Linked DNA regions of Elephas maximus indicus. The protein of the gene in region 1 purifies or fractionates together with the protein of each later gene. This does not show direct contact. Links are inferred from orthologs where the notes say so. Each region holds a gene or a part of one and is shown in the gene's direction. Other genes may lie near its edges. The genes, in order: RPA2, PRPF19, CDC45 and RAD52.

Evidence for each region.
Region 2: the proteins of RPA2 (region 1) and PRPF19 purify together in Homo sapiens (affinity purification with western blotting; 4 studies listed by BioGRID, with this or other methods). This does not show direct contact. The link is inferred for Elephas maximus indicus from reciprocal best matches to the Homo sapiens genes RPA2 and PRPF19.
Region 3: the proteins of RPA2 (region 1) and CDC45 purify together in Homo sapiens (affinity purification with western blotting; 3 studies listed by BioGRID and IntAct, with this or other methods). This does not show direct contact. The link is inferred for Elephas maximus indicus from reciprocal best matches to the Homo sapiens genes RPA2 and CDC45.
Region 4: the proteins of RPA2 (region 1) and RAD52 purify together in Homo sapiens (affinity purification with western blotting; 3 studies listed by BioGRID and IntAct, with this or other methods). This does not show direct contact. The link is inferred for Elephas maximus indicus from reciprocal best matches to the Homo sapiens genes RPA2 and RAD52.

The regions. Positions count from the first base shown.
Region 1 is NC_064821.1:68,320,090-68,326,941, reverse strand, and holds the start of RPA2 (replication protein A 32 kDa subunit), read left to right. Parts: upstream 1-3,845; 5' UTR 3,846-4,060; coding exon 4,061-4,070; intron 4,071-4,331; coding exon 4,332-4,438; intron 4,439-6,852. UniProt on the Homo sapiens protein: As part of the heterotrimeric replication protein A complex (RPA/RP-A), binds and stabilizes single-stranded DNA intermediates that form during DNA replication or upon DNA stress.
Region 2 is NC_064825.1:124,020,323-124,028,009, reverse strand, and holds the start of PRPF19 (pre-mRNA-processing factor 19), read left to right. Parts: upstream 1-4,665; 5' UTR 4,666-4,880; coding exon 4,881-4,899; intron 4,900-6,792; coding exon 6,793-6,942; intron 6,943-7,124; coding exon 7,125-7,201; intron 7,202-7,687. UniProt on the Homo sapiens protein: Ubiquitin-protein ligase which is a core component of several complexes mainly involved pre-mRNA splicing and DNA repair. Required for pre-mRNA splicing as component of the spliceosome.
Region 3 is NC_064840.1:32,705,291-32,712,181, forward strand, and holds the start of CDC45 (cell division control protein 45 homolog), read left to right. Parts: upstream 1-3,882; 5' UTR 3,883-4,013; coding exon 4,014-4,064; intron 4,065-4,174; coding exon 4,175-4,234; intron 4,235-5,163; coding exon 5,164-5,256; intron 5,257-6,891. Other genes in the region: UFD1 (ubiquitin recognition factor in ER-associated degradation protein 1), read right to left, coding at 1-130, 3,127-3,129. UniProt on the Homo sapiens protein: Required for initiation of chromosomal DNA replication. Core component of CDC45-MCM-GINS (CMG) helicase, the molecular machine that unwinds template DNA during replication, and around which the replisome is built.
Region 4 is NC_064822.1:57,802,803-57,810,805, forward strand, and holds the start of RAD52 (DNA repair protein RAD52 homolog), read left to right. Parts: upstream 1-4,981; 5' UTR 4,982-5,153; intron 5,154-8,003. UniProt on the Homo sapiens protein: Involved in double-stranded break repair. Plays a central role in genetic recombination and DNA repair by promoting the annealing of complementary single-stranded DNA and by stimulation of the RAD51 recombinase.

The DNA.
Region 1 (6,852 bases):
CTTTAACTGCAGTTTAAAATTTTAAGGATATTTAGTTGAGTCTGTAAACAATGTTCACATACTCAAAAGGTTGGTTTCAGGTTTTATTGGCTAAAAGAATTCAATAAATTGAACATTAAACAAATAGTTGTGGATGTTCTTCTGTACATATAAGAGCCTCTCCATCAGTAATAGAGAATTCTATCAGTATTAGCCAATTCATAATGACCATTACTGGTAGAAATAATCAGGACCATATAAAACAGAAAATGACAAAAACTCCACCCAGTAACATTTGTCTTAGCCCCCCCCCACCCAAAAAAAGAAAGGAAAAAATCACATCTTATGTATAATGTTGGAAACTGCAAAAAGTCACCCTGAATCAAATTGTACTTGATAGATAATGCGCACCCATAAAACTACAGTACCAGATGTGTAAAATTGGGCATGGATCAAATTTAAACGATGAATTAAACCCTCATTGTAAAATTCGCCCAGCAAAGAATTGATCCACATACAAATAATTGTAAAAAAAGAAAAGTGGAAAAAAAATTAGAAATCACTAAATTGAACTGTATAGAAAACTGAACAGAGAATTAAGTCTCAATGAAAAATCCATCAATGTCAGAACAATTCTGATGAAAATATTTGTATTCATAAAGCGGAGGCAAAATGACCTCGGGGATTATAACTGTAGATCAAAAACATTCAGAGAGAATGCATATTGAGCACCTAGCACAGATATAATGGATGTACCTGGCACGTGGTATGTACTCAATAAACACCAGATTGTTTTAAAAGATAATTTCTCTTCTACTTACTCTTGCTGCAATTTCCCTAGCAGTCCCAAGTCTGGGAATAATGAACTATGCCCCTACCTGGAAGAGGGTAATTAAAGAAATCCCTTCTATGTGACAGGAAGACTCCCAATTAAAACCAAACCTTGAGAGATGAAATTACTACACACACACCAAAAAAAGGGAAACACTATTTTAATGCTGATTCAGACCTGAACCCTCTATTCAACTTACCTGCTCATGGAGGTGTTGAAAAGATGTGAAATCATATTTTGATGGTTATTATGCTCTAAGTTAAGACATTCTGGCTTCACTTTGGATTTTATTTTTAAGCGTATACTCTCCTCAGCTGAATTTATAACTAGTTGAACCCGAAATGAGGTAGATTAACCTAACATCTTAAATTTCCCAGAATAGTCTTAATTCATAACATTTTATCCTAATATTCCCATAAATATGCTTTTACTTGTCATACTATGTATGTTCTAATCACTTTAGGATTAATATAATAATGTCATCTCGTTTCTGCCTCAGACTTCTGTCTTTGGCTATATCTTGTTTAATTCTCAGTGATGGTTTGGAAGCTTACAGAATTTATATAAGAAAGAGATGACACACAAGCAACATCTGGCTCCCAAGTATCTTTTGTTTGGCCCACACGGTCTTGAGACAGAATTAGGCTGAAGCAGACTGGTTGGGCCCCCAGCACATAGACTGGGAAAAGGTCGAACAGGACAGACAGTAGAATAAACAACCTGACCTACTGGCACTGGTGCAACCATAACCCACCGCCTGGAGATTAGAACGGAACGCACAGGCCCTGTGGGGCAGAATGTTTCAGCTGCGGGGTGACACGAACTGAAATGTTCTAGGATGTTGCAAATAAATTGTTGATGTAGAGCTTGCAGGTCTCCACAGGTGCAGAGCACATGCAAAAGAAGTTAAGAGTGACCACTGTTTGGCCTTCCCGAGCCCGCAGAAGCGGGCGATGTGACAAAGAAAACCAGTGCGCCTGTATCACATCCCATAATGAGTCATGTCAAGGGGAACCAAAGGACTTCCATCTTGAAGAAGTGCCACATGTGCACCTGCATTTACCTAACCCAACCCTTCCTCAGAAATCTCCGCCCTTTCCCCCGAAAACCTCATGAATAAACATCAATACCCCTCCTTGTCTAAACCCTTAAATAGTTGGCTCTTAGGCAAATCGGGGAGACAGTCTCTCCGAAGGTTCTAGCCCATACTGTTTCCTTTTGCTAGCTGCCGGCAAAATTAATTTGCTTGTGTGACTCCAGGCTGCTTCAAATAGTCTTATTGGGCGTCACGGATCTGGTTGGGTTCAACTGAGATAGGGGCCCTGGGTAACAGTCTTTTTTAAATGATTAATTTGCAAAAGCTTACGGTTCAAAAATTTTCACATAAAAATCCAGATATCTGGCTTCTACTAAAAAGCTGGCAACACTGGGCTCATACTCTTTATATATCAGTAACGATTTATCATTATGCTTAGGTGGTTATTCGTCTTACTCTGGTGAAAAAAAGTGAAAATTTAGTTCCTCTGTTATCCAGTCCATTACATTTACGGTTTTACTGACTGTCCCCAGTGGTCATTTAAGCGTGTGACCCAGTTCTGAGATGTTCTAGGAGGTATAGTAATTGCACTGGTTGATGGAATCAGACTTGCTGGCTTTGGATGCAGACTCAGTTTTCTCTTCTGTAAAATGGGGGTGTCCTAGGGTAAAATTACCAGAAAGTGATAGTAAAGCAAAAAGAAAGGTTTTATTCAGCATATTTTTGAAGGCACAAAAGTGGAAAATGGGCATGCATGCTGCCAGAGCCATGTCTGCCCAAGTCCAAGGAATATTACAGAATCATCAGTATATATTAACATTATGAATGGATAAAATCGCTGAAAGCTTCATCTTTTCACATACTGGCTAAAAACTGCTAAATTATCATGATTCTACGTTTTAAATTGTTTTTCTTAATAATCATTGGTAGGGGTTTCAGTGATGACAGTCAGAAGAGTCTTCATTGGTCCAACAACTCCTACTATTTACTAAACCCTAATAAAAAGACATAAGAGTGGAACATGTGTGGGTCTTTAGTGCTGCGTGTATGTGAGAGTTTCCCTAAAAGACGTTTTCCAAGATTGTCCTAGCTATTGTTTTTATACCTCAGGGCCCAGTTGATGTGTCCTTAGGAGTCCAGCTCCAGCTAGGTTGAATTCTTTATGCTCAAGGACAGGAAATAACGGCTTCAATTTTATCTCCTAAATGAGGAGACAATAACACTACCTACCTTATAAAAAAAAGAAAAACCTTATAGGGTTGAGTTAATAAACGTAAAATGCTTAAGACAGTGCCTGCAATTTTATAAATGCCCAGGGACCATGTCTAGTATATTTACTGTTAAATCCCAGTGTCCAGCACAGAGCCTGGAACAGGAGGCATCAAATATTTTCAAGTAAATAAATGGAAAAAAAAAATCTAATAATCTAGTAGTGCTTAGAGCAAACCAGACATTGTCCACTGTCTATAGGAAGGGCACAATCATATTATTTGAAGAATACTGGAATATAAAATGGCTGTCTTTTGAGATGGATGTCGGGCCTGGATTTACACTGAGTTGGGGAAAGGGCATCATGGGGAAGAGGATGTAAGTGTCTTATGGCCTCGCTAGGAAGAATCACAAAAACAGAGTCGCTAAACAGGGACAGAACTTGGCTCCTTCTGGAGAAGAACAAACAATCCCACGAGGTGCTACAAGGCTACTACTGTGAGTCCCTGGGGTGTGCAAATACGCGGGTTATGAGCGCAGAAGCAAGAATTTCACCACAGCGCTTTAGGTTAGGGCGTCAAAATGGTGACAGTTTGGCGGGAACAGGAAGGCGCCCAGCAAAGGAAGTGACGTAAATGTCACTCATTTGGCAGGGGTGCGGTTATGCGGCCTAGAATTTAGAACTATTATTTTGATTGGTTGTTTTCTTGGGCCCTCTTCCGGCTTTCCGCTTCCGTCTGCTAGGCCGGTCTCGCAGCTTCCGGCCCCTCAGGGAGCAGAGAGCGAGTTTTCAGACACAGGGCCAGAGAAGACAGGAAGAAGCGTAGGATTCGCGAGCTTTGATTGGCTGAAGGTAGAAGCGTCCTGGACGCTGATTGGCTCCGTCGTTCGCGGGAAGGAGTTTGTGGCGCCAGCGAAAAGTAGATACGCTGCTGCGACAACTGTAGGGCCCTGAGGTGCCCCGCCGACTCACTAGATTGGATCCTGACGGAGTCACTACCAAAATGTGGAATAGTAAATATGGGTGGGGCGGAGGAGACTGAGAATCGCGAGGAGGATTTAGCGGGACGGAGAGCCTGGGGACGGAGAGACATGGGGAGGGGGAAGGGGCAGGAACCGGAGAGGCGGGCGGGGGAGTTCGCGGGGCGGGGAAAGGTGCTGAGGAACATTCGGGAGACGGTGGGAGTGTTTGAGAGGGGTGAGGTTTGTAAGGACTTGTGGAATTTTCAGAGGCCTGGAAAGCGGCGCAGATACTGATAGTGTTGTTTGAAACAGGTGGATTTGAAAACTATGGCAGCTCCGCCTATGGTGGCGCCGGCGGCTACACACAGTCCCCGGGGGGCTTTGGGTCGCCCACACCTACTCAAGCTGAAAAGAAATCAGTAGGTTCAAAGGGTGTTTCGTTTTATTCTATCCTGTTCTAAAGCTCGTAACTCGTCTATGAGAGAAAATTTATGCGGCATATGAAGGGTATTAAATATGAACTGGTTCGGTAATTACCGGTTATTGCTCATGTTTTCTGTAATTAGGTGCTGTAAGTTTTAAAAATGAAATCTTCCCTAATTTTGCATCCATTGTTTCCTTGGCTTTGTTTTGAAATTTATCGAAATAGCCATGAATCCGTGGGAAAACTCTGAACTTGTGTTTAATGCATATTTTGCACTCTTCATGTATTCACGTAGCCAGGAGGTGAAACACGGAATAGGGGTGGGGGGAAGAACATGGGTTTTGAAGTCAAATAGACCTGTGTTTTCTTGCTCTGACACTTTACTTGGGAGTCAGTTTTGGACTTATTAAATGGGGTTGATAATATATGCCTCACAAGGTTGGGACTTGATATGTTATATTACATAGGAGCCCTGTTGGTGCAGTGGTTAAGAGCTAGGGCTGCTAGCCAAAGGGCAATTCGAATCCACCAGCCGCTCTTTGGAAACCCTATGGAGTAGTTCTCTTTCCTGTAGGGTCGATATGAGTCAAAATCAACTATGGCAACGGGTTTCGGTATTTTTTGTTTATATTTTTATATGTACTATTTCATATAATCCTTTTTGTTTACTCCATCGTACGGCAGAGGCTCAGGGAGGTGAAGGAACTACCCAAGGTTACAAAGCTAGTAAATAGCTAAAACCAGGACAGTGCACACATGATGCTGTGCAAATCCAAATCTGGTGGGCAGCCTTTTCTCTAATTGTAATTTTCTTTTTCCCAGGAAGACCAGAGGAGATTCCAGTCTTCTAGCTTTGTCTTCCTTGGGGTTGTGAAGGAGAAAACAGGTGGATAGATACTGGTTCTCGTCCTTTTATTTATCTCAGAATCCCTAGCTCAGACTGTGTATTAAGATAGCTTAGTCACAAGTTGGGGACTCAAACCCAGAGGTCATGTTTTTGAATCTAGTGCTTTTTCTACAGTAAATTAGATAAATGTGCCTGTCTGAAATATCCCCTGTTGAGTATGAACCTGTTATATTTGGTTGAACCAAACTAAGAGCCAGTATGGCAAAAACGTGGATTCAGAGCCAAACAGTCCTGCAGACCTATGTTCAAATCCTAGCTGCTAAGCCCTGGACACGTTACCACCTCTTCTGTAAAATATCTATTCTTCAAGTTGTTGAAATATATAATGTATATCAGTTGCTGTCAAGTATTTTTTCATAGTTGACAATGAACCACAGGCAACTCTGACAGTACGATATGAAACCACCATTTTTATAAGGTCTGCAGGACCGTCTGGCTCTGAATCCATGTTTTTGCCACCGTTACCATACTGGCTCTTAGTTTTCTTAATACTGAAGACGTGATGAGAATCTCAGCTGTGATAGGTGAAAACAGAAAATATAGTACATTATTTGTGAGAGAAAAATCCTGGGGCCTGTGTAGATTCTACGTTTGTGAATACTGATGTATCATAACTTCACCTGTGGATACAATAAAGTAAAATGGGAAAACATACTAGATTCCTTCACATCCTTTTGAAGGTTATTGCAGGTATGAGCAGTGAGGAGCAATAGTTAATAAAACTGCTAATGCTGAGTGCTTATGATGTTCCAGGCAATATTCTAAGTATATTACCATATTATTGCATTTAATTTTCCTGACTTTATCATTCCCAGTTGAACAGCTGAGGAAACTAATGTGCATATGAGTTAAGAAACATGTCCAAGAGCACACTACTCTTGAGTGGTTGTTGTTGACTGCATTCGGGTTGTAACCTTAACCCCCAAGCTTAGTCTCCTTCCTTCGTGACATAGCGGTTAGCTAGGCTTACTTCATACCAATTCCGGGTACTCATCGTTCAAAATTATGCTTCAGCAAAGTGAAACATTGCCAGCAGCATGAATCTTTAAGTCAAAGCTGGGACTGCTAAATCCATGAAGTCTATTATGTTCTGTCTTACAGTTATTAAGTTACTTTTTATTGATTTTGGAAAGGAAGGATTCTAATGTTTAATCTTCCGTGGCTTTTCTGCCTCATACATAGTCCCTCTGTGAGCCCTTAGACTAGAATGCCCGTCCTTTACCCACTGTTTTTCCACTATCAAAATTCTCATGCATCAAAGTCCAGCTCAAATGCTGGAGAGACTTTTTGAAATTCCCTAGGCAGAATTAGTGAGTTTTTCTGAGATGGCATAGCATGTGTAATTCTGTAGTATATCAAGATCAGGTTTGTTGTTTACATTTGTATCTTCCCTAAATTAGGAGTTACTCAAGGGCAAATTCTACCCCATCTTTATATTATTCGGTTTACCTTGGTAGGCAGAAATAAGAGTTTACAGTATTGCCAGGCTGTGGTAGGGTGTG
Region 2 (7,687 bases), on another chromosome or scaffold:
TTCCTTTAATAACATTAGTTCTTGATCATATGCTACCTCCTGAAATGGTTGAACATCAATCAGTTTTTTTTGGTACAGTGACTGTGTATTCTTTCCATCTTCTTTTGATGCTTCCTGCTTCATTCAATATTTTCCCCATAGAATCCTTCAATATTGCAACTCGAGGCTTGACTTTTTTCTTCGGTTCTTTCAGCTGCTTTGTAGGACTACCTAAATCTCAGGTCACAGATTTTCCTGTGCAAGAAATGTAACTTCTTTCTTCCTAGGAAAAATTAATTTCTTTTCAACTCTCTTTTCCATTGGGGTAGAGTGGAAATAATCTCAGACAGTTTAGAACTTTTCCCATCCCCGATTTTCATGCTGTGCACACGTTTTGGAAGATTAGCATATGGCCAAAGGGGAGGGGGAGGCTCATATGACCCTAGGTGTGCATCCAGTTGTCAATTCCTGAGGCTTCCATCGTCCTCTCATTTGTCTACACAGGTTGCCACTGAGTCTACCTGGGAAATGGAGCCCAGCCTTCTTCTGGGTTATTGGCCAATGTGAACTTACCTTTTCCAAGGAGCAGCAACAGCCTTGGCCTGAAGAACAGGGATCAGGATTCCTTTCTTAGGGACCTACCAACAGCTATGAGTCTCTCTCTTTCCCTCTAAAGCTCCGTTTTCAGACTAGGGAATACCTGTCTCCTTTGTGGGGAGGACAAAGTGGGTGGTGGTGGTGTGGAGATCAAGCACTTACCCATGATATTTAAGTCAATTGTCTATTCCCTGAATTCCTTCTATTTCCCATGGGGCTGGCTTTTGAAACCCAAAAGCCTTGAAAAAGCCCTTTGGCATATAACCCCGTTCCCATTGCCATATAGTATAGTCAAAACCCGTTGCCGTTGAATAGATTCTGACTCATTCTGACCTTATAGGACAGGGTGAAACTGCTCCATAGGGTTTCCAAGGCTGTAATCTTTATGGAAGCAGACTGCCACATCTTTCTCCCGTGGAGCAGCTGGTGGGTTCAAACTGCCAACCTTTTGGTTAGCAGCAGAGCACTTTAACCACTGTACCACCAGGGCTCTGAAAGCTTTGAAGGGACTCCTTTTTTCCTGTGTTCTGATGTCACAGCCATAAGCTCCCCAGTGTAGGGATGTCTCTTGCCTGGCACACAGTGGGTGCTCAATAAAGATTTGTCCGTTAAAGGAATGAATGTGTTTTCCTCTCCAGTTTGTCCCCTTCCAACCCATCTAGTAAGTGCCTTTCAGAGGAAACTTCTGGAAATGTGGTTATCTTTAGGTCACTTGGTAGCTCAAATGCAATCAGATGTTGTTCTGCTGCCAAGCCCACAAGTCTAACCACTTACTAACCCACTTTATTTCCTACCAAATCTAAGTACTTGAGACGCCTGGCCCGCCAGGCAGCCTGTCATTCAACCGATAGTATTTATGAAGCCCCTGCTATGTGCCAAGCCTACTATGTGCCAGGCACTGTTAGACTCAGGGAACAACAGAGAACAGGACACCCTGGTTCCTGTCATCACAGATCTTACAGGCTATGGAGAATCCAGACATCAGACAGATAATTATAAATAGTTAAATGATTATAGTTATCTCAAGTGGCTCAGAGGAGAATTAGAGGCTGATAAGGAAACCCCGGTGGGATAGTGGTTAAGTGCTACAGCTACTAACCAAAAGGTTGTCAGTTTGAGTCCACTAGGCACTCCTTGGAAACTCTATGGGGCAGTTCTACTCTGTCGTATAGGGTCGCTATGAGTTGGAATCGACTTGACAGCAATGGGTTGGGTTGGGTTTATGGGGACTAAAGGAGCCCCGGGTGGTGCAAACAATTAAGCACTCAGCTACTAACAGAAAGGTTGGTGGTTCAAATCCATCCAGAGGCACCTCAGAAGAAAGGCCTGGCAATCTACTTCCAAAAGATCATAGCTATTGATAACCTTATGGAAAACAGTTCTACTCTGATACACATGGGGTCTCCATGAGTCACAATTGACTCACTGGCAACTGGTTTATGGGGGCTAAACCTTGGCCTGATATTAAAGAAAAGGCCTCCTGAGGAAGTGACATCTAAGGTGGGACTGAAGTTTACATTGGAGGGCATTGGGGGGAGGGGAAGAAGGGAAGGATTTGAGGAAAGTGTTCTAAGCAAGGGTGGGTAAATTTGAGGATTTAAAAGACCAGTGTGGCTGGAGAGACTGTGGAGGTCAGCCTGGGCCAGATGGCACAGGGCTTGGGAGCAAGTTTCTTCTGCCAGAGTCACTCATTCCTGGTCTTGGGACTGACTGCTTTCCCTCATTCGGGTCTCAGTAAAAATGTCACCCCCTTAGAGACACCCTCCCTAAATATCCTGCATAAAGAAGTCCTCCCTCCGATGCCCAGCAGCTACTATTCACCTTATTCTGATTTGTTTTATTCATGGTGCTTACCACTCTCCAGGTCCCCAGGTGGTGCAAATGGTTCGCACTCCACTGCTAACCTAAAGATTGGCAGTTCAAACCCACCCAGTGGTGCTGCAGAAGATAGACCTGGTGATCTGTTTCTGTTAAGATTACAGCAAAACAAACAAACAAAAAAACCCCTATGGAGCAGCTCTACTCTGTAACACATGGGGTCGCCATGAGACGGAATCAACTCGATGGCAACCAAGAACAACAACCACTCTCTGGAATTATCTTCTTAGGTGTTGATTTTCTGCATGCTCTCCATAAAATTAAACAGCCATAAGAGCAGGAACCTTGTCATTTTGTTCATTCATTTGTATCTGCAATGATCAGAACAGAGCTTGACACACCCCAATCAATATATGTTGAACGAATTAAATGCCTGAGGAGTAGCATAAATAGATTTTTCACTGAAAGTAGATCACTGGCTGCTTTGTGGAAAGTGGATTAGAGGGAGGCCAGTCTGGAAACAAGGTCAATCAGGAAGTTTTTTTTTTTTTTTTAATTGTGCATTAGGGTGAAAGTTTACAGAGTAAATTAGATTCCCATCTGCTGGTTCGTACATAAAGTGTTTTATGGCCTTAGTTTTATTTCCCACAACGTGTCAGCACTCTCCCCATTTCCACCCTGGTTTCCCCGATACCTTTCATCCTGATTTTCTATCCCTTTCTGCCTTCTCATCTCTGCTTTAGGGCAAATATTGCCCTTTGATCTCATATAATGGATTGTTCTATGGAGCACATTCCTCTCAGATACTATTGTTTATTTTATGGGCTTGTCTATTGCTTGGCTGGAAGGTGATCTCCAGGGATGGCTTCAGTTTCAGGTCAGAAGGGTGCCTCCAGTCTCTTGTCAGACCAGTAAGTCTGGTCTTTTCTGTGAATTTTGATTTTTTGTTCTACATTTTTCTCCGGCTCTGTCCAGGACCCTCTCTCTGTTGTGATCCCAGTCAGAGTGGTTGGTAGTGGTAGCTGGGCACCATCCAGTTCTCCTGGTCTCAGGGTCGTGTAAGTTGTGGTTCATGTTGTCCGTTAGTCCTTTGGACTAATTGCTTCCTTGAGCCTTTGGTTTTCTTCACTCTCTTTTGTTCCAGACAGGAAGAGACTAATAATTGTATCTTAGATTAGCAATGGGTTTAGATGGCAGCTGGTAAGCTTTTAAGATCCCAGATGCTACTAGGAAGCTATTTTATCAGTTCAGGGGAGCTTGGGCAATCTTGCTGGCTTTTGAGATAATGACAAACATGAATATGTATACTGTACTTACTATGTTCCAGGGTTAGTTCAAAGTGCTGTTTGTTAACTCATCACAAAAAAACTCTATAACTTAGTTCTACCCTTGTTTTCACTTCCCCGATTTTACAAATGAGGAAACAACTTAGAGAAGTTCACACAGCATACTAGCTGGATGGAGTTGGGATTTCAGCAGTCTGGCTTCAGAGTCCATGCATTTGGCCGCTATACCCTACTGCCCTATATCTGCAACTTTTGTTCTTCTCTCCGTCTTTGCTCATGCTGTTCCTTCTAGAATACCCTTCACTTCTTTCTCCTTTCTCTGAATATTGCCCGTTTGTCAAAGCCCAGCTCATTCACGCCTTTTCAGGGAAGACTTCAGTGACCACATCTACCCGTCCTGCTGTCTTCCCTCGTAGCCCACACGAGTCGGCGCACGTTCTCTACATCTTTCCTGAGTATATCTTATCTTACAGAGGTCAACGAAGAATCTTACACTACCTGAGCTGGAAGCAACCTAGAAGTCATGTAGAAAACCGGCAGAGAAACTAGTGACTTGCCTAAGGTCACAGAGCAAATTGGTAACAGAAGTAGTACTAAAACCGTTTTTTGATCATTGTTAGTTCCCCTACTCATCTGCATTTTCATCGGATTCCCCCAGCATGTATTTTCTCAAAGGGCGGCCCGAGAAACACCAGCCTCAATTTTATTGGGCGCTAAATTAAAATGCAGACTCTCTAGGACAGACCCTAGAAATCTGCATTTTAATAAGCTCGTTAAGAGATTCTTGTGCACATTAAAATTCGGAAAACACAGACACTACCGCGTCTCAAAAGGAGTGCAGGAACACATTGGATGTAACGGTCCCACTGCATCATGGGAAATGTAGTTTTACGCCGCCTTTTCCCTGGGGCACTTTACGGAAGGAGACGAGTTAATCCGGAAATAGCCGAGTGTTCTGTGGCGGGCCCTTTCCTGCCCGGTTGCATTCTGGGAAGGGGCAGTTTCCGTTAGTTGCTGAAGGCTGCGGCGCGCCACCTGCCCCAGACCCACGTGAAGCACTACGCTACCAGAGCTCGGCGGGGTGCTCCCCGCTCGCTGCGGAGCGTCCGGAAGCAGCGGGGAACCGGAAGTGGCCCGCGGCGGCTCCGAAGCCAGTCACGGAGCCCGGTGTGAGGCGCCTCGGAGCGCAGTGACGGCGCCATGTCTCTGATCTGCTCAAGTGAGTAGCGCCTGCGGCCGATCGTGGGTTGCAGGAGGCTGGAGAGCGGAGCGGGAGAATGCGCCAGCTGCTGAGACACCGGCTTCTGGAGGAGGCGGGAACGGGGCTCCCGGGCGATAGAGCGGCGGCCTGTCAGCACCGGGAACCTTCCGTCCTCCGCGCGGGGTCCATTTGCGCAGAGCTTCGCAGTTTACACAGCGCCTCAGATTTGTCGTCTCAGGGCTCCTTGGGGCCAACCATTTGGTTTTACAGAGGCTTGGACAGAGGGAGTTGGTGCAGGGGAAGCCTCTCTAGCGTAGGAGCCAGGGGAGCCGAGGGCTCGTTCAGAATTCGCCTCCGATTAGCTTTGTGATCGACCCCTCTCTGGGCCTTAGTTTCCCCATCTTCAAAATGAGGACTTTGCACTGGATGCTGTCTGAGGTCGCGCTTGGGCAGTCGGAGCTTCTGGAGTTTGCGAAGGTCACACAGTGAGTTAGAGGCAGAGACAGGGCTGGAAGCCAGGTCTCTCTCACACTGTAGCACGAATAAAAACAGTGCTTATTTATGAGGCCCTTCATGGTTTCCAGCAGTGCTTCCAAGTCTGTGATCTCATTTTATCCTCACAAGAATTTCCCGAAGCAGAAATAAAGACCCTAGCTTTACAGGTGAGGAAGGGAAGCCCAGGATGAGTGTTAGCTAAGGTTCCACAGCTAGTAAGTGGCAGTGCGGGGTGACAGTCAGGTTCCCCGACCCCAAATCCATGCTTTTCCATGCCTTATACTGCCTTTCCTTTTGGTGTTTTATTGTGTCATGCTCCCATTTTCTTTTCTCATCTTTTCATCAGGTTACCAGTTTCCCACCCCTTTCTCTCTTTGCTTCCTACCTTTAAGCCATCCTCTCTTTCCTGAACCTCTCCCTTAAATCCAAAGAAGGGTAGTAAAAAGGGAAATGGGCAGGAAAAGGAATACCTTACACGGAGGGAATTATAATTACATTGAAGAAATTGCAAAGTATTTTCACATCCAGTGTTTTCTTTGACCCTTGAAAGAGCTCTGTTCTGTGTGCTCCAGCACCGTCCTTCCTCCCATGCATTCATTCCTTCGTCTTTGGGATGTGCACCTACTGGGAGTCAGAGACCAGCTGTAATCCCTCTTCTCTAGGGCACACCGTCTACTCAGGGCAGGTGTGTAAATGATGATGAGATTATGTAAAATGTTCAGAATCATGCATGGCACCTAGCAAACCCCACATAAATGTTTTTTATTATTATAGTACTTGTCTCGTTGCTTTGTATCTTCTTCGATAACCTACCTAGGGCTCTAGACTGAGATGGACAGCAGGGATTTGAGTGGCTTCATACATGTCTCCATCTCCTGGAGTATAATGGATGCCTAGCTATTTTTGTAAGGAGCCTTGGTGGCACAGTGGTTAAGCGCTCAACTACTAATTGAAAGATTGGCTGTTCAATCCCACCAGCTGTTCTGTGGCAGTCTGCTTCCATAAAAATTACAGTCTTGGAAACTGCCCTATGGGGCAGTTCTTCTCTGTCCTGTAGGGTTACTATGAATCGGAATCAACTTGATGGCACACCGCCACGACAACAACCACCAGTTTTGTTTAAAAATGAGATGGGCAGGGATTATTGACTACTCCCTAGGGTGCCTGGCATGTTGTAGCTCTGCGGTGAATATTTGTCGAAAACCTGACTATCAGGAGACTGCTGATGGAGAAGCTCCTTATGTCACTGGAAAGCATTCTGGGGACAGTACAAAACTGGCTTGGGGACACAGGTCTTGTTTCCTTTTGGTTCAGTGTGAGGACATGTGGCCTTATTGGGGCCAGTAGCGGGTGAGGGGTTTCTTTGGTCCAGGCTTCCCTTTGACCCCACGCTCACTGCCTGCCTTTTCCCTGCAGTCTCCAATGAAGTGCCAGAGCACCCGTGTGTGTCCCCTGTCTCCAATCATGTCTATGAGCGGAGGCTCATTGAGAAGTACATTGCGGAGAACGGCACAGACCCCATCAACAACCAGCCTCTGTCTGAGGAGCAGCTGATCGACATCAAAGGTGCCCACTGGTCAGCCTCAGGCCAGAGCTGCCTCAGTTCAGAGGCTGAGAGGGTGGGAGGTGGTGCCTTTGCATTGGAAGAGGCGATGGTGGTCTGTTAATTCAGGCTGAGGGGGAAAGAGGTGGGGAACGGTAAGAGGCTGCTGGGTTAGGGTTCTTCATACCACTTTCCCTCTCGGCAGTTGCTCACCCAATCCGGCCCAAGCCTCCCTCAGCCACCAGCATCCCGGCCATTCTGAAAGCTCTGCAGGATGAGTGGGTGAGTTCCCCAGAGGGAACCAATGTCTTCCCCACTTGAAGAGATGGATCCCTGGACTGGGACTAGGGAGTGGGAAGGCTGGAGCATCGTCATCTTTTTCGAGGGGCAGAATGATATGGGAGGAGGCACCTGGGTGTAAAAGTCACACAGGTCTGAGTTTCAAACTTAGCTTCATTGCTTACTAGCCATGTGACCTCCAGCAAGTTGCCCACACTCTGAGTCCTGGTTTTCGTGACTGTATGGTGGAGATTTTAGTATTTTATCTTTCAGGATTTTGGGAGGGTTACGATACAATTATAGAGTATAAACCTCATGACATCAGGGTCTTGTTTTATTCATCAGTGTATCCCCAGCACTGAGGGCAGCACCTGATACATAGTAGGTGTTCTGTAAATCTGAGTGAATGCATCTTGAGGGACCATCTGGCACAGGGCCTGACACAATGAGGGCAATGATAAATAGCAGCGGTTATTGTTCCTTTTGGTG
Region 3 (6,891 bases), on another chromosome or scaffold:
TCCCTCCTTTCTCCACATCTGACCTGTCATTAGGCCCTGCTAGCATGGACACAGAGAAGCAGCGGTACTGGGTGGAGAAGCGGTTCTGGAAGACCCGGGGAATTGGGTGGTCAAACATATTGAAGGAGAACTGGAAGGAGAAAAGAGATGTCAGTGTCAGAACAGAACAAAGGTACATTTCTTCATGTCAAATGCCAAAACACATCAGGGTAATTAATGCTGCTAAATGTCAAAGAACAAAAAACATACTAAAATCTTGATTAACCCTTGTTGGTTGTGTTGAGTTGACTCTGACTCATGGTGACCCCATGTGTATCAGAGTGGATCTGTGCTCCGTAGGATTTTCAAATGTTGATAGTTCAGAAGTGCCAGGCCTTTCTTCCAAGGAAGGTACCTCTGGGTAGACTTAAACTGCCAACCTTTCAGTTAGCAGCTGAGCACTTTACTGTTGGCACCACCGAAGGACTCCTCATTAACCCTAATACTGGGGAAGCGGTGCATTCTGACAGAAGCACTTCCCAGGTAGAAGGTTTGTCGCAAATCTCTGTGGTTCGACCTTGTCTGCCACCCTCAGTCTTGTCCCTCTTGTCTCCACCATTCTTAGAAAGTATGGTCTTACTAAAATACAAAACTGGCCATGTCAGTTCTTTCCTTAACCTCTTTCACCCTGCAGCCCTCCTAAGTATACAGGCAGGCCTCTCAGTGGCTCACAGAGATCTGCTTTCTGGTAAACCACAATCTCCTAGACCTGCCATACTCCTACCCAGGCTACTTCCTCTGTCTGGAGGACTTTCCAATTTTCATTAACTTAACACTTACTAACTTAAAGGCACATATTTACTGTGTGACTCTACTATCTGCCAGGCTCTGTTCTAAGCATCAAGGAAACATCAGTGAACAAAACAGATAAAATCTCTGCCTTGGTGGAGCTGAATCCAAAACAGGGGACAGAAGCAAAAATAAACATGTATGTCATGTGGTAATAAATACCCTGAAGACAAAAAAGCAGGGTAAGGAGATCAAGGACACCTGGGGATGCTATTTTATATAGGTGGTTAGGAAAGGACCCTGCATAGAGACCTCAATGCCATGAGAGGAAGCCAAGTAGAAAACTAGGAAAGGCACTGCAGGCAGCAGGTGCCCAGTGCATCTTTTCACCTGGCTCCCCATAACCACCCTTTCCTTTCTCCAGGAAGCGTTCCCTACTCTACCAAGAATTAGTGCTAGTGCCCTTCAAATGTGCTCTCACTGCACAGAGTAGGTACACATACTGTGCTACTTCCTCACGTTTAAATAACTAAAGCCAAGGCAGGGTACCATTAAAAAAGGAAGATCCAAGCTCATAAAGACTGTGGACTAAGATGTGGCTTAGAAAACACACTACACATCCACTTGGGGTCTTCTCAAAGTACCGAAACTACTGTGACATTTCAAAAAGAATAAAATCTCACAATAGACAAACACTTCTTGACTTGATTTCAAATGTACATTAAGCAGAGGGGAAAACCACCTAATGATAATTAATTACAAAATAGTTTACTAAAAAAAAAAGTTGCCATCAAGTTGATTCTGACTCAGAGCAACCCTACAGGACAGAGTAGAGCTGCCCCACAGGGTTTCCAAGGAGCGGCTACTGGATCCAAAGTGCCAACCTCCTTTTCATTAGCAGCCAGCCAATCTCCTAACCACTGTTCCACCAGGGCTCTAGTTTACTAGCAATTCCAAAATCAGCAAGCTGAAGCAGCTGTATTCCTATAGGCAAAACAGTACCCTCTTGCTTAAAATCTCACATGGTTCTTCACACTCTAGAACTCTCACACAGTAGTTTTCAAACTTTTGTCTCTTTCTTCTCTCAAACAACACAACTCTACTCAACAAAATCTTAGCCAAAGGCATAACAAGTAAAACAGAGTGTCTGGATGAAGAAAGGGAGAAAAGTGGGGCCTCCTCTGACTACCTCACACTACACCACTCCATCTAAGCTGTACTCTTTGCAATATAAAAGAGGGAAACGTGCACAGAGTTTGCAACACCCTTAATAATGTGCCTTCAATACACCCATGAACCTGATCTTCTGTCCCTCCCTATTTCTTACTTTGTAACTTCAATGCTTTGCATACTGCCTGGTACATATCAAGTATTCTATAAGTCTGTTAAGTGGATGAACTTGGGAACAGAAATACGATTCAACAATGACACACTTTTACTAAAATAAGCAGGTGATACTGAGGCAATGCTGTACAACGGTTGTAATGAGGCTGAACATTGCAGCCAGCCCGACTGGGCTTCAAATCTCCACTGCTAACTTTTGTGACCTCCAGTAAGCGATCTTCCTCATCTTTAAACCTTAGTTTTCTCATGGTTGGAAACCCTGGTGGCGTAGTGGTTAAGTGCTACGGCTGCTAACCAAAGGGTCCGCAGTTCGTAATCCACCAGGCGCTCCTTGGAAACTCTATGGGGCAGTTCTACTCTCTGTCCCATAGGGTCGCTATGAGTCCGCACTGGGTTTGGTTTCCTCATGGTTAAAATGGTAATAATCCTTGTCTCCAAGGGGGTTGTCAGGACTAAACGGGATAAAGTGTGATTAGGAACGATAAGTACAAAAGAAAAGGTGTGTAACAAAAAAAAGCAGACATTAGCTACTATTGTTATCATTACTAAACATAACGCCGCTCTACGTAAGAAGGTACCAACACAACCGAGGCATGAACCCGGAGGCACAAAGTTCCCGAACTAGGGCAAGAGCAGGGAGTCCCGCCCAGGGAGATGCCCCTTATGTATTTTCCGTGGGGAGCCCTTGATTCTGCTTCCCACTTCCAAAAACCTTTCAACCAATTTAGTGTTTATGAACACCTGTTACGTGCCTAACACTTGGGCACCAATGGGTGGACACAAACGTAGAAGGTTTAAGGAGCCCACCGTCTAAGAGGAAAATGCGAGCCATGCCCTGGACAAGCGGTGATAAGCAGACGCCGTTTTGGGCAAGGCGCGACTAGTGCCCGATGCGCCCAGGACCAGAGGCGGCCGGGTCCAGGCCGGGTGACTCGGCATCTCCGCTGTCATCTCGCCCGGTCCCGCCCGCCCGCCCGTCTGCTCCCCCCCCGGGCTAGGCCTGGTCGCCCTCACCATAACTGACACCTCCGCCTCGCAGGCGCCGCTTCTTCCAGGGAATGTAACGTGGTGAGACCGCCGACCACGCTCCCTCTCACAGCCTACACCGCCGCTGCGGCCACCACCTCCACAGCCGATCCGACGCCCCGTAGGCTCACCGGAAGTGACGGACCTGGAACCTGGGCAGGGGAGTGCTGAGACCAGGGGTCGGCTGCAAAAGGGAAAAAGCCAGACAAAGAGTCTGGAGTCTAGAATTTCCCAGGAATAAATTCTATAGTATCCTTTCTTAGCAGGATTCCCACTCTAGAGATAATTTTTCTTATTATTTTAAATTACGTCTTGATAGTACTCCCCTCCAGACGAACTTAGTAGGACCCATTCCTTTTCTTGACTACACTACCCAGAATGCAATTAGATCTTCCGGCCTTTGCGTCAGCCATCGAAATCTCGGGCGGAAGTGAACTACACATGCCCCCTTTAAAGTGGAGCGAGAGCCTATTGAAAATGTAAAGCTGACGATCTCATTCTACGTATAACTAAATTTAACTTATGGAGGGAAGGTTTTTTGTCCTGGAGTTCCCAGTGAGAGATAACGGTATTTTCTTCCCGAAGTAATAATGTCCACCGAGACGCGGGTTTCTGGGTCAACGGAAGTCACAGTTGAAAGAGGCAACAGTGTTTGCGTCCTGCCGAGTTTTGACGGCTTTTTCCACCGGAAAGGCGGTGCTCTAGTGCCCGCCCTCAATATGCCCCAATCAGAAAGGAGGAAGGGCTGAGACCGAGCAGCTATTGATTGGCAGCCCCTGGGCCAATCGGAAAAGCCCTGCTTTGGCGGGAGTCTTGATCGCCGCTGGGGCTCACTGTATCCCAGATCTTATGCTAGGCGTCCGGCCACCGTGGACATGTTCCTGTCCGATTTCCGCAAGGAGTTCTACGAGCTGGTCCAGAGTCAGGTGAGCCCCAGTCTGGACCCCTGGCCTACGTCTTGTCGGGAACAGTGGGTGAGCAGGAGTGGCCGCTACTCGGGTCTCCAAACTCAGCCTGCCTTTTCTTCCCCTGACAGAGGGTCCTTCTCTTTGTGGCCTCGGACGTGGACGCTCTGTGCGCCTGCAAGATCCTTCAGGTGAGTGCCGCGGACCCTCGGACGGAGGGGCCACGGCAAGAGGTGAGCGGAATAGAGAGGACCTCCCCCAACCCCCAGATGAGGACAGAGGCTGAGGTAGGGGCTTGAGCAGTCACAACTGAAGACTGAGGTCACTGCCCTGACTGGATGGTGAGGGGTGGGTTAGAGGAGGATTAGGCAAAAGGCAGGATGACTAGTTAATATTTTTTGCAGTAACCCAGGCAAATATGGTTGCATTTGGGTGAAACGTAAGATTTAGACTTCTGGTGGCCTATGAAATGTGGGAGTTTGAGGGAGACAAATCTGTGACAGCTGAGGGCATGGTGGGGTCATAAGTGATGCTGGAAATACAGGACCTCTGGTCGATTGAAAAATATCATTAGTTCAGTCTTGTTTTGAACATAGTGGGACATTTACATTGAGCTTTGGTCAGGTTCTTAGGTCAGGATCTTATCAGAAGACCTGGAAGTAAGATTGGATTTTCCTCCAATGTATTACTTTGAAAATTTTCAAACATTCATTAGAGTTGACACAGTGAACACTCGTATCCTTACCACCAAGTTTCTCCCGTTAACATTTTACTAACCTTGCTTTGGAGTCTCTGGTTGGTGCAAACCACTGAACGTACAGATTGTAACCAAAAGGTTGGCAGTTCAAGTTCACCCAGAAGAGTTTCGGAAAAAAGGCCCTGGTGACCTATTTCCAAAAATCTAGCCACCGAAAACCCTATGGTGCACAGTTCTACTCTGATGCATGTGGGGTTGCCATGAGTCGGAAGCTACTTGATGGCAACTGGTTTTAACCTTGCTTAATCATCTGTCTTCCATCTCTCCACCAGCTATCTTTTTTTTTTTTTTTTCTCTTGGTACATTTTCAAAGTAAATTGCAGACATTCTAAATAGCAGGGTTTCAAAACACCTTTTCCTCAGGCCTTGTTCCAGTGTGACCATGTGCAGTACACCCTGGTTCCAGTTTCTGGGTGGCAAGAACTTGAAACTGCATTTCTTGAGCATAAAGAGCAGGTATGTAAGATGCGTTTTGGAATAATTAGCCTTCATTACTCCATAGTAATTTCTTAACCCTTAGCATTCTTTCTAATTCCATAATAGATTGAGTGTATATGTAAGTGTAAACTTTATTAAGCAAAGTGGAAGAGAAAAACATAATATGTATACTAGTAACTTACCCTTAAGTTGTGGAGGCAAAATTGACCCCCCCCCCCAAAAAAGAAAAGGACGGTAAATATGGACAGCAGAAATTTTATTGTTAGGAACATGGAATTTAATAGTGTTTAATTTGGCCTAACTAAAACTATTTTACGATATACTGCTATCTTATATTATCTGTCCAAATAAATGTATCCCAGGTTCCAATTTGAAATCCAGGAACATATCTTCCTCCTCAGAGTCCTGGTGGTGCAGTGGTTAAGAACTCGGCTGGTAACCAAAAGGTTGGCAGTTCAAACCCATACTGCTCCTTCGGAAACTCTATGGGGCAGTTCTACTCTGTCCTATAGGGCGGCTGTGAGTCAGAATCAACTTGATGGCAACAGGTATCTTCATTCTCCATAATTTAAACAGTAGAGGCCAGGACTGCTTCTACCTCTGCATGGGGCCACAAGGAGAGATGTGACATCTTGGGCCACACAGGGAAGGGCTGGGGTGTGGAAGAAGGACCATGGTGTCCCTGGCCACAGGTGAGACTGCTCTGGCAGAGATAAATCCTAGCCTGGAGTTCCTGTCATCATGTGAGGGAACTTTGCCAGTGTGATACTCGTAAGAAAATGATTTCTATAATGATAGGGTGTCATACCAAAAAAACCAAACCAAACCCACTGCTGTGAAGTTGATTCCTACTCACAGCAACTCCATAGGGTTTATATCTTAGGCTGGGTTCTCTAGAGAAGCAAAACCAGTAAAGCATGTAAATACGTAGAGATTTATATCAAGGAAATGGCCCACGTGGTTGTAGAAGCTAGAACATTCCAAGTCTTTGGGTCACACTGGAGGCTTCTCCTGATTCACGTAGCCACAGGGCCTGACAAACCCAAGGTAGGTTAGGTCAGAGAGCAGGGCTCTTGCTCACGGGCTGAGAAGACCAGTGAATCCCAAGATTGACAGGCGAGACAGCAGGTAAGCTGCTAGCCCAGGTCCCAAGAACCAGAGGTCAGACAAACAGGGGCCAGCCACAGGATCCAGAGCAAGCAAAAATCAGCAAGACTTGCCAGAAAATCCACCTATATTGGATGCAGGCCACACCCCAAGGCAACTCCCTTTCAACTGATTGGCTACTCACAGCAGATCCCATCATGGAGGTGATCCCATTATATCAGATCTCACATGGAAGTGATCACGTCATCATAAGATTGCCAAACTACATCATAACTGCCAAACCATTGAGAATGATGACCCAGCCAAGTTGACGCACAACCTTAACAATCATAGTTTCCAAGGCTGTAAATCTTTATGGAAGCAGACTGCCACATATTTCTCCCACAGACCTTTTGGTTAGCAGTCAGGTGCTTTCACCACTGTACCACTAGGGTGTAATAGAAGACTTAAATTTAGGTGCCCAAGATTATTAAAAATTTAAACCTCTCCCTGGCGAGGCAGGAGCCCTGGTGGCCCAACCATTAAGTGCTCGGCTGCTAACCGAAA
Region 4 (8,003 bases), on another chromosome or scaffold:
CACGATATTTCCCCTTTTCCTTATTTATTTTTAAACTTTTACTTTTTACTTCTTTGTTAAGTTAGCCTCCCGACTCTTGGCAACCCCACCCACAACAGGATCAGACCGTGATCCTTACGGTTTTCATTGGCTTATTTTTCAGACCCCCACGTGTCTGTCAGTTTGTCGTACTGTGGGGGCTTGAGTGTTGCTGTGATGCTGGAAGCTAGGCCACCGGTATTCAGATACCAGCAGGGTCACCCATGGAGGACAGGTTTCAGCTGAGCTTCCAGACTAAGACAGACTAGGAAGAAGGACCCGGCAGTCTACTTCTGAAAAGCATTAGCCAGTGAAAACCTTATGAATAGCAGCGGAACTTTGTCTGATATAGTGCTGGAAGATGAGCCCCCCAGGTAGGAAGGCACTCAAAAGATGAGTGGGGAAGACCTGCCTCCTCAAAGTAGAGTCGGCCTTAATGACGTGGATGGAGTAAAGCTTTCGGGACCTTCATTTGCTGATGTGGCATGACTCAAAATGAGAAGAAACAGCTGCAAACATCCATTAATAATCGGAACCTGGAATGTACGAAGTATGAATCTAGGAAAGTTGGAAATCATCAAAAATGAAATGGAATGCATAAACATCAATATCCTAGGCATTAATGAGCTGAAATGGACTGCTATTGGCCATTTTGAATCAGACAATCATACAGTCTACTATGCTGGGAATGACAACTTGAAGAGGAATGGTGTTGCATTCATCATCAAAAAGAACGTTTCAAGATGTATCCTGAAGTACAATGCTGTCAGTGATAGGATAATATCCATATGCCTACAAGGAAGACCAGTTAATACGGCTATTATTCAAATTTACGCACCAACCACTAGAGCCAAAGATGAATAGATTTTTATCAGTTGCTCCAGTCTGAAATTGATCAAACATGTAATCAAGATGCATTGATAATTACTGGCGATTGGAATGCAAAAGTTGGAAACAAAGAAGAAGGATCAGCAGTTGGAAAGTATGGTCTAGGTGATAGAAACAACACTGGAGGTCAAATGATAGAATTTTGCAAGACCAACGACTTCTTCATTGCAAATACCTTCTTTCACCAACATAAATGGCGACTATACACATGGACCTCGCCAGACGGAACGCACAGAAATCAAATTGACTACATCTGTGGAAAGAGACGATGGAAAAGCTCAATATCATCAGTCAGAACAAGGCCAGGGGCCGACATTGGAGCAGACCATCAATTGCTCATATGCAAGTTCAAGCTGAAACTGAAGAAAATCAGAGTAAGTCCACTAGAGCCAAAATATGACCTTGAGTATATCCCACCTGAATTTAGAGACCATCTGAAGAACAGATTTGACGCATTGGACACTAGTGACCGAAGACCAGATGAATTGTGGAATGACATCAAGGACATCATCCACGAAGAAAGCAAGAGGTCATTGAAAAGACAGGAAAGAAAGAAAAGACCAAGATGGATGTCAGAGGAGACTCTGAAATTTGCTCTCGAATGTCGAGCAGCTAAAGCAAAAGGAAGAATTGATGAAGTAAAAGAACTGAAGATTTCAAAGGGCGTCTCGAGAAGACAAAGTATTATAATGATATGTGCAAAGGGCTGGAGATGGAAAACCAAAAAGGGAAGAACACGCTCGGCATTTCTCAAGCTGAAAGAACTGAAGATAAAATTCAAGCCCCGAGCTGCAATAGTGAAGGATTCTATGGGGAAAATATTCAATGACGCAGGAAGCATCAAAAGAAGATGGAAGGAATACACAGAGTCATCATACCAAAAAGAATTAGTCGATGTTCAACCATTTCAAGAGGTGGCATATCATCAGGAACCGATGGTACTGAAGGAAGAAGTCCAAGCTGCTCTGAAGGTATTGGCAAAAAACAAGGCTCCAGGAATTGATGGAATATCCATTGAGATGTTTCAACAAACAGATGTAGCACTGGAGATGCTCACTCATCTATGCCAAGAAATATGGAAGATGGCTTCCTGGCCAACTGACTGGAAGAGATCCATATTTATGCCTATTCCCAAGAAAGGTGATCCAACCGAATGGGGAAATTATAGAACAATATCATTAATATCACAAGCAAGCAAAATTTTACTGAAGATCATTCAAAAACGGCTGCAGCAGTATATCGACAGGGAACTGCCAGAAATTCAGGCCGCTTTCGGAAGAGGACGTGGAACCAGGGATATCATTGCTGATGTCAGATGGATCCTGGCTGAAAGCAGAGAATACCAGAAGGATGTTTACCTGTGTTTTATTGACTATGCAAAGGCATTCGACTGTGTGGATCATAATAAACTATGGATAACACTGCGAAGAATGGGAATTCCAGAACACTTAATTGTGCTCTTGAGGAACCTTTACATAGATCAAGAGGCGGTTGTTCGTTCAGAACAAGGGGATACTGATTGGTTGAAAGTCAGCAAAGGTGTGCGTCAGGGTTGTATTCTTTCACCATACCTATTTAATCTGTATGCTGAGCAAATAATATGAGAAGATGGAGTATATGAAGAAGAACGGGGCATTGGGATTGGAGGAAGACTCATTAACAACTTGCGTTATGCAGATGACACAACCTTGCTTGCTGAAAAGTGAAGAGGGTTTGAAGCACTTACTACTGAAGATCAAAGACCACAGCCTTCAGCTTGGATTGCACCTCAACATAAGGAAAATAAAAATCCTCACAACTGGACCAATGAGTAACATCGCGATAAACGGAGAAAAGACTGAAGTTGTCAAAGATTTCATTTTACTTGGATCCACAATCAACAGCCATGGAAGTGGCAGTCAAGAAATCAAAAGACGCATTGCATTGGGTAAATCTGCTACAAAGGACCTCTTTAAAGTGTTGAAAAGCAAAGATGTCACCTTGAAGACTAAGGTGCGCTTGCCCCAAGCCATGGTATTTTCAATCACGTCATATGCATGTGAAAGCTGGACAATGAATAAGGAAGATGGAAGAAGAATTGACGCCTTTGAATTGTGGTGTTGGCGAAGAATATTGAATATACCATGGACTGCCAAAAGAACGAACAAATCTGTCTTAGAAGTACAATCAGAATGCCCCTTAGAGGCAAGGATGGCGAGACTGCGTCTTACATACTTTGGACATGTTGTCAGGAGGGATAAGTCCCCAGACAAGGACATCATGCTTGGCAGAGTACAGGGTCAGCAGAAAAGAGGAAGATCCTCAAGGAGGTGGATTGACACAGTGGCTGCAACAATGAGCTCAAGCATAGCAACGATTGTAAGGATGGCTCAGGACCGGGCAGTGTTTCGTTCTGTTGTGCATAGGGTTGCTACGAGTCGGAACCGACTCGACGGCACGTAACAACGACAACAACAATTTTTCAGAAGCAGATGGTCAGGACTTTCTTCCTAGGCTGTCTTAGCCTAGAAGCTCTGCTGATACCTGTTCAGCATCTCAGTAACATGAAAGCCTCTACTGACAGGTGAGTGGTACCTGCCTGAGATGCATTGCTAAGGATGAAACCTAGATCTCCTGCAAGGAAGGCAAGATTTCTACCACTGAACCACTATTGTCCTCAGTTTTTACTTACAGATGTTAAAAAAAATTTTTTTTTTTTAAACATAGGCAGTTCCATTTAACTATTGTTTCCTTTATGACTTAATTCTCAACTTTAATACTTAGAAAACCCTTCCTCATTCTGAGGCCAGATATTCATCTATATATTTTTTCACTTTGTTTTTTGCTTGTGTGTGTGTATTTAACACTTCACCCTTGAATTCAACTGGAATTTATTTTTTTATATTTTGAAAAGGAATTTAACTCCCCTACCCCCCGTTTTTTTTTTTTTTACCCCCAGTTAACTAATTGTCCCAGATCCATTAAAAAACAAAACATTCTTTCTTCACTGATTTGAAATGTCACCTTTATCAAATAATAGAGTATGCATATGCACTGGAACTGTTTCTAGGCTTTTTACTCAGCTTCCAGTGGTCTAACTGGGTAGAGCGGTCACACAGAGTATGACTTGCTCTGAGATTTTGCTATCAGTTGTCAGTTCTGACTCATGGTGACCCCATGTGTGTCCGAGTAGACTTGTGCTCCATAGTTTTCAACGCTGTGATCTTTCAGAAGCAGATCGCCAGGCCTGTCTTCCCAGGTGCCTCTGGCTGGGTTCAACTACCAACCAGTGCTTAACCCTTTGTGCCATCCAGGGAACCAGATACTGAACAGTCTGGTTAACAGGGGCTTACTGTAATGACCAATTTGAAAACATAAAAGAATGATTTTGTTGGAGTTTTTTAGTAATTAATTTCGGGTTGTAATGACTGAAGTTTTCGGTCAGTTTTTCAGCATTGCTAATAGAATGTGTTATCATCACCAAGTTCCAAGAGATATACTAAAGAAAGTCACCTCTCCTCCAAGTCACAAGTTTATTTTCCTCCCGTTCTTACTAACTTAAGCAGAAGCTACCGGGTGATGACTGGATGTGCACGGCAGTTTCAGAAAAGGAAGGCTTAGTGAAAAAGCATGTCCACATTGCCACCGTTCGCTGTGTCAGCCTGGGGTGGGCGCTGTGAGGGTCTCTGATAACCATAATTAGTAAGACTTAAAAGCATTATTCTCCCTTCCCGAAAGATCCCAAATGTGCACAGATAAGTACTGGGAGGTCCCTCTCCCGCCCCGCCCTGCCCCTGTATCTGATTGGGTACGTGAGGTAGTGTAGGAAGGCGCAGGAAAAGCAGGCCCAAAGCACCTCAGACTAAGCTGAATCCTTTAGGTGAACTCGCAGGGCCCCTCCAGGGGGCAGCGGAGATCCAGACAGCCGGAGACGGAGACCTGAGCTCAGGAGCGTGGGAGGCGGTGGGGGCGGGACGTAGAGCTCCTGGCGCTTCCGGCTTACTTTACAGCATCCGACAGTTTACTTTGCGGCTCTTCCCTCTTCCGACTTGGTTTACGGCTCCTGCTGTACTGTTCTCCCCCCCGCCCCCCCGCCCCCGTTTGTTTTTGTTTTTTGCGTAAGGGCCAGCTCTCGGTTTGGACCTTCTTCCCAGGGTTTCCTTGCACTTCCTTCCCAGTCTCCTTTGCGCGACCTCTATCTAAGCTCCATTCTCTTGCATTTAGCCTGCACCGAGCTCCCTGCGTGCACCACGCGCTGGCCGAGGCGCGTAAGTCGGGAGGGAGAACCGGCCATGTTGGGGTGGTTCCGTCTGGGGGTTGTGTGGAGCATGGGAGTGCTCACATTCGGAGGGGAGAACGTAGGGTGGCGGTTGGTCGTCTTGAAGATCCCAGGATAGTGACCATGGATCCAGAGGCCTGGACTAAATAATTAATGCAGTAAAGGATCAGGGCTTACTGAGAGTTTGGTTAAAATAAAAAACTGAGAGTTTCGTTAGGAGGGATAAAAAAAACCCAGTGCCGTCGAGTCGCGTATTGTTAATTGTGGCTGTTCCCTGCACCGAGCAAGACACTCTAAATGCTGCTTGTTGACAGAAGTGAAGGGTGCAGAAGTTTATCAGTAACTGGGTGTGGTTGCGGCTGAGGTTGGGAAGGAATTAGGAATTTAAAAGGAATTTGACGCCCAGCTTAGCCGCGTGTTCAGCCATCCTAGAAGTTTTATTTTTTAAAGAATTGAGATACAACTCATATACCATTATAGCCATCCTTTTTAAGTGTGCAATTTAGTGTTTTTTAGTGTCTTTAAAAGGTGCGCTACCATCATTACCATCTAATTGTAGAACATTTTCATCATCCCAAAAAGAAAGTCACTCACACATACCGTCAGCCCCTTATAACCGCAAATCTGATGTCTGTCTCTACGGATTTGCCTCCTCTGGACATTTCGCATAAATGGAATCATAGAATATGTGGCCTTTTGTGCCTGGCTTCTTTCACTTAGCATAATGAGAAGGTTCATTCATGTCATACGTAGCATATGTCAGAACTTTATCCTTTTTTTATGATTCTCCATCGGTTAATGGACGTTTGGGTTGTTTCCATTTTTTGGCTTGCTAGACTTTTTAAGATGTTTCTTCACAGAACTTGCAGTCTAAAGCGTGAACTTTTGAAAACTAAATTTTCAGAAAATGTAATTGAGTCACATTTCACTGCCTTCAAATCTGGTATCTTTTAGGCAAGTGTGCCATTTAAAAGTCTTCTATTTCAGTTCAGCACCTATCAGACTATGTTTCGTAGTGGTGACAAGCAGAGGAATGTTTGTGTGCAGTTCTCAGAGATCACAGCTGCCTGTCATCTTGTGACATAAACCGGGTGTAGGTGGAGATTAAAAACCAAACCAGTTCCTGTCCAGTTGATTCCAACTCATAGCGACCCTATAGGACAGAGTAGAACTGCCCCATAGGGTTTCCAAGGCTGTAAACTTTATGGAAGCAGACTGCCACATCTTTCTTCTGTTTAGTGCATACAAAGTGTAAATGAGTTCCGTATGGGAGACAGGTTTTACCTAAAAAAAGGTAATTAATTATTGAAGGGCAGAAAGCCTAGTGTGGATATTTTTCAGTCTTTTAACATTTCCTACTCAAGACATTCTTTTTTTTTTAAATTGTACATTAGTTGAAGGTTTACAGAACAAATTAGCTTCTCATTAAACAGTACACATACCGTTTTATGACATTGGTTAACAACCCCATGACATATCAACATTCTCCCTTCTTGACCTTGGGCTCCCTATTACCAGCTTTCCTGTCCCCTCCTGCCTTCTAGTCCTTGCCCCTGGGCTGTTGTGCCCCTTTAGTCTTGTTTGTTTTATGGCTGAAGGGTGAACATCAAGAGTGACTTCATTGCTGAGCTAAAAGGGTATCCGGGGGGCATACACTTGGGGTTTCTCCAGTCAAGACATTCATTTTTAATAGCTTACTGGCAATTTTGAAGTGGAGAGAGGCTAAAATGCTTTTCATACTATATACTGGCTGGGGACTGTGCTAAGTGCTGAGGATTCATTGATTAATGTATGTGCTCCCTTCTCAAATGGCTGAGTGTAGTAGAGAAGTAAATGATTGTAGTGTGATATATGCTTTTGAGTATGTCTAAAACACTGTGGGAGAACAGGGTTAATGCTACTTAGGGTGTATGTTGTTAGTTGCCATTGAGTCGGCTAGAATATAGTGAGGTACATAAGGCTTCAAAAAGGAGATGACATTTTAAGATTTATTTCCTTCTTTTTAAAAGTATTCAACTCTGTTGCTAAACATTTTAACTATCACAAACATTATAGCAGCATGTACATAAATGAAAATTAAAGAAAGATACTTGATATACAATCCTGCTCATATCAGGCTGTTCTTGATTCTCACAACTAGAATCACACTAATCACGGAGTCTTGTCTGTTCTGCCCCCTGTAGTACATATCCAGGGTCCATCTCTTTCTGTCATCTGCACTTCCATTGTCTTAGCTGAGCCCTTATTCCTGTCTGGACTGTTGTAATATAGACTAATAGAGAGCTCCTAATCGAGCTCTCCCTCAATTATTCACTGTTGACTAAACTTTCTGAGGCATAAATATAATCTTATCATTCTTAGCCTAAAAATTTCCATTGGTCTTCCATGGCTTACAAAATAAAGTTCAAGCTTTTTAGGGTAGCTTACATTAACCCTTGTGATCATGTCCTGTCCTGGCTTTGATAAAAATGAGAGATTATAAGACAAAAGAAGAAAATTTCCTTACATATATGCTTCTTTTCTGTCTTACTCCTCTCCTTCTCCACACATGTTTAGAAATGCTTTTAGGTGATAAGGAAATAGATAAGAATAGAAACACTTTGCCAGTTTTGTTTGTTTTACCTTCTTAATATTTCTCGAATTCATCCACTTCTTGCTCACAGCCACTATTATCTTGGGAAAATACCTGTGAGAAGAATTGCTGGGTCATATGGCAGACACATGGAGCCCTGATGGCGTAGTGGTTAAGAGATTGGCTGCTGACCAAAAAGTCAGCAGTTTGAATCCACCACCACTGCTTGGAAACCCTATGGGGCAGTTCTGCTCAGACCTATAGTGT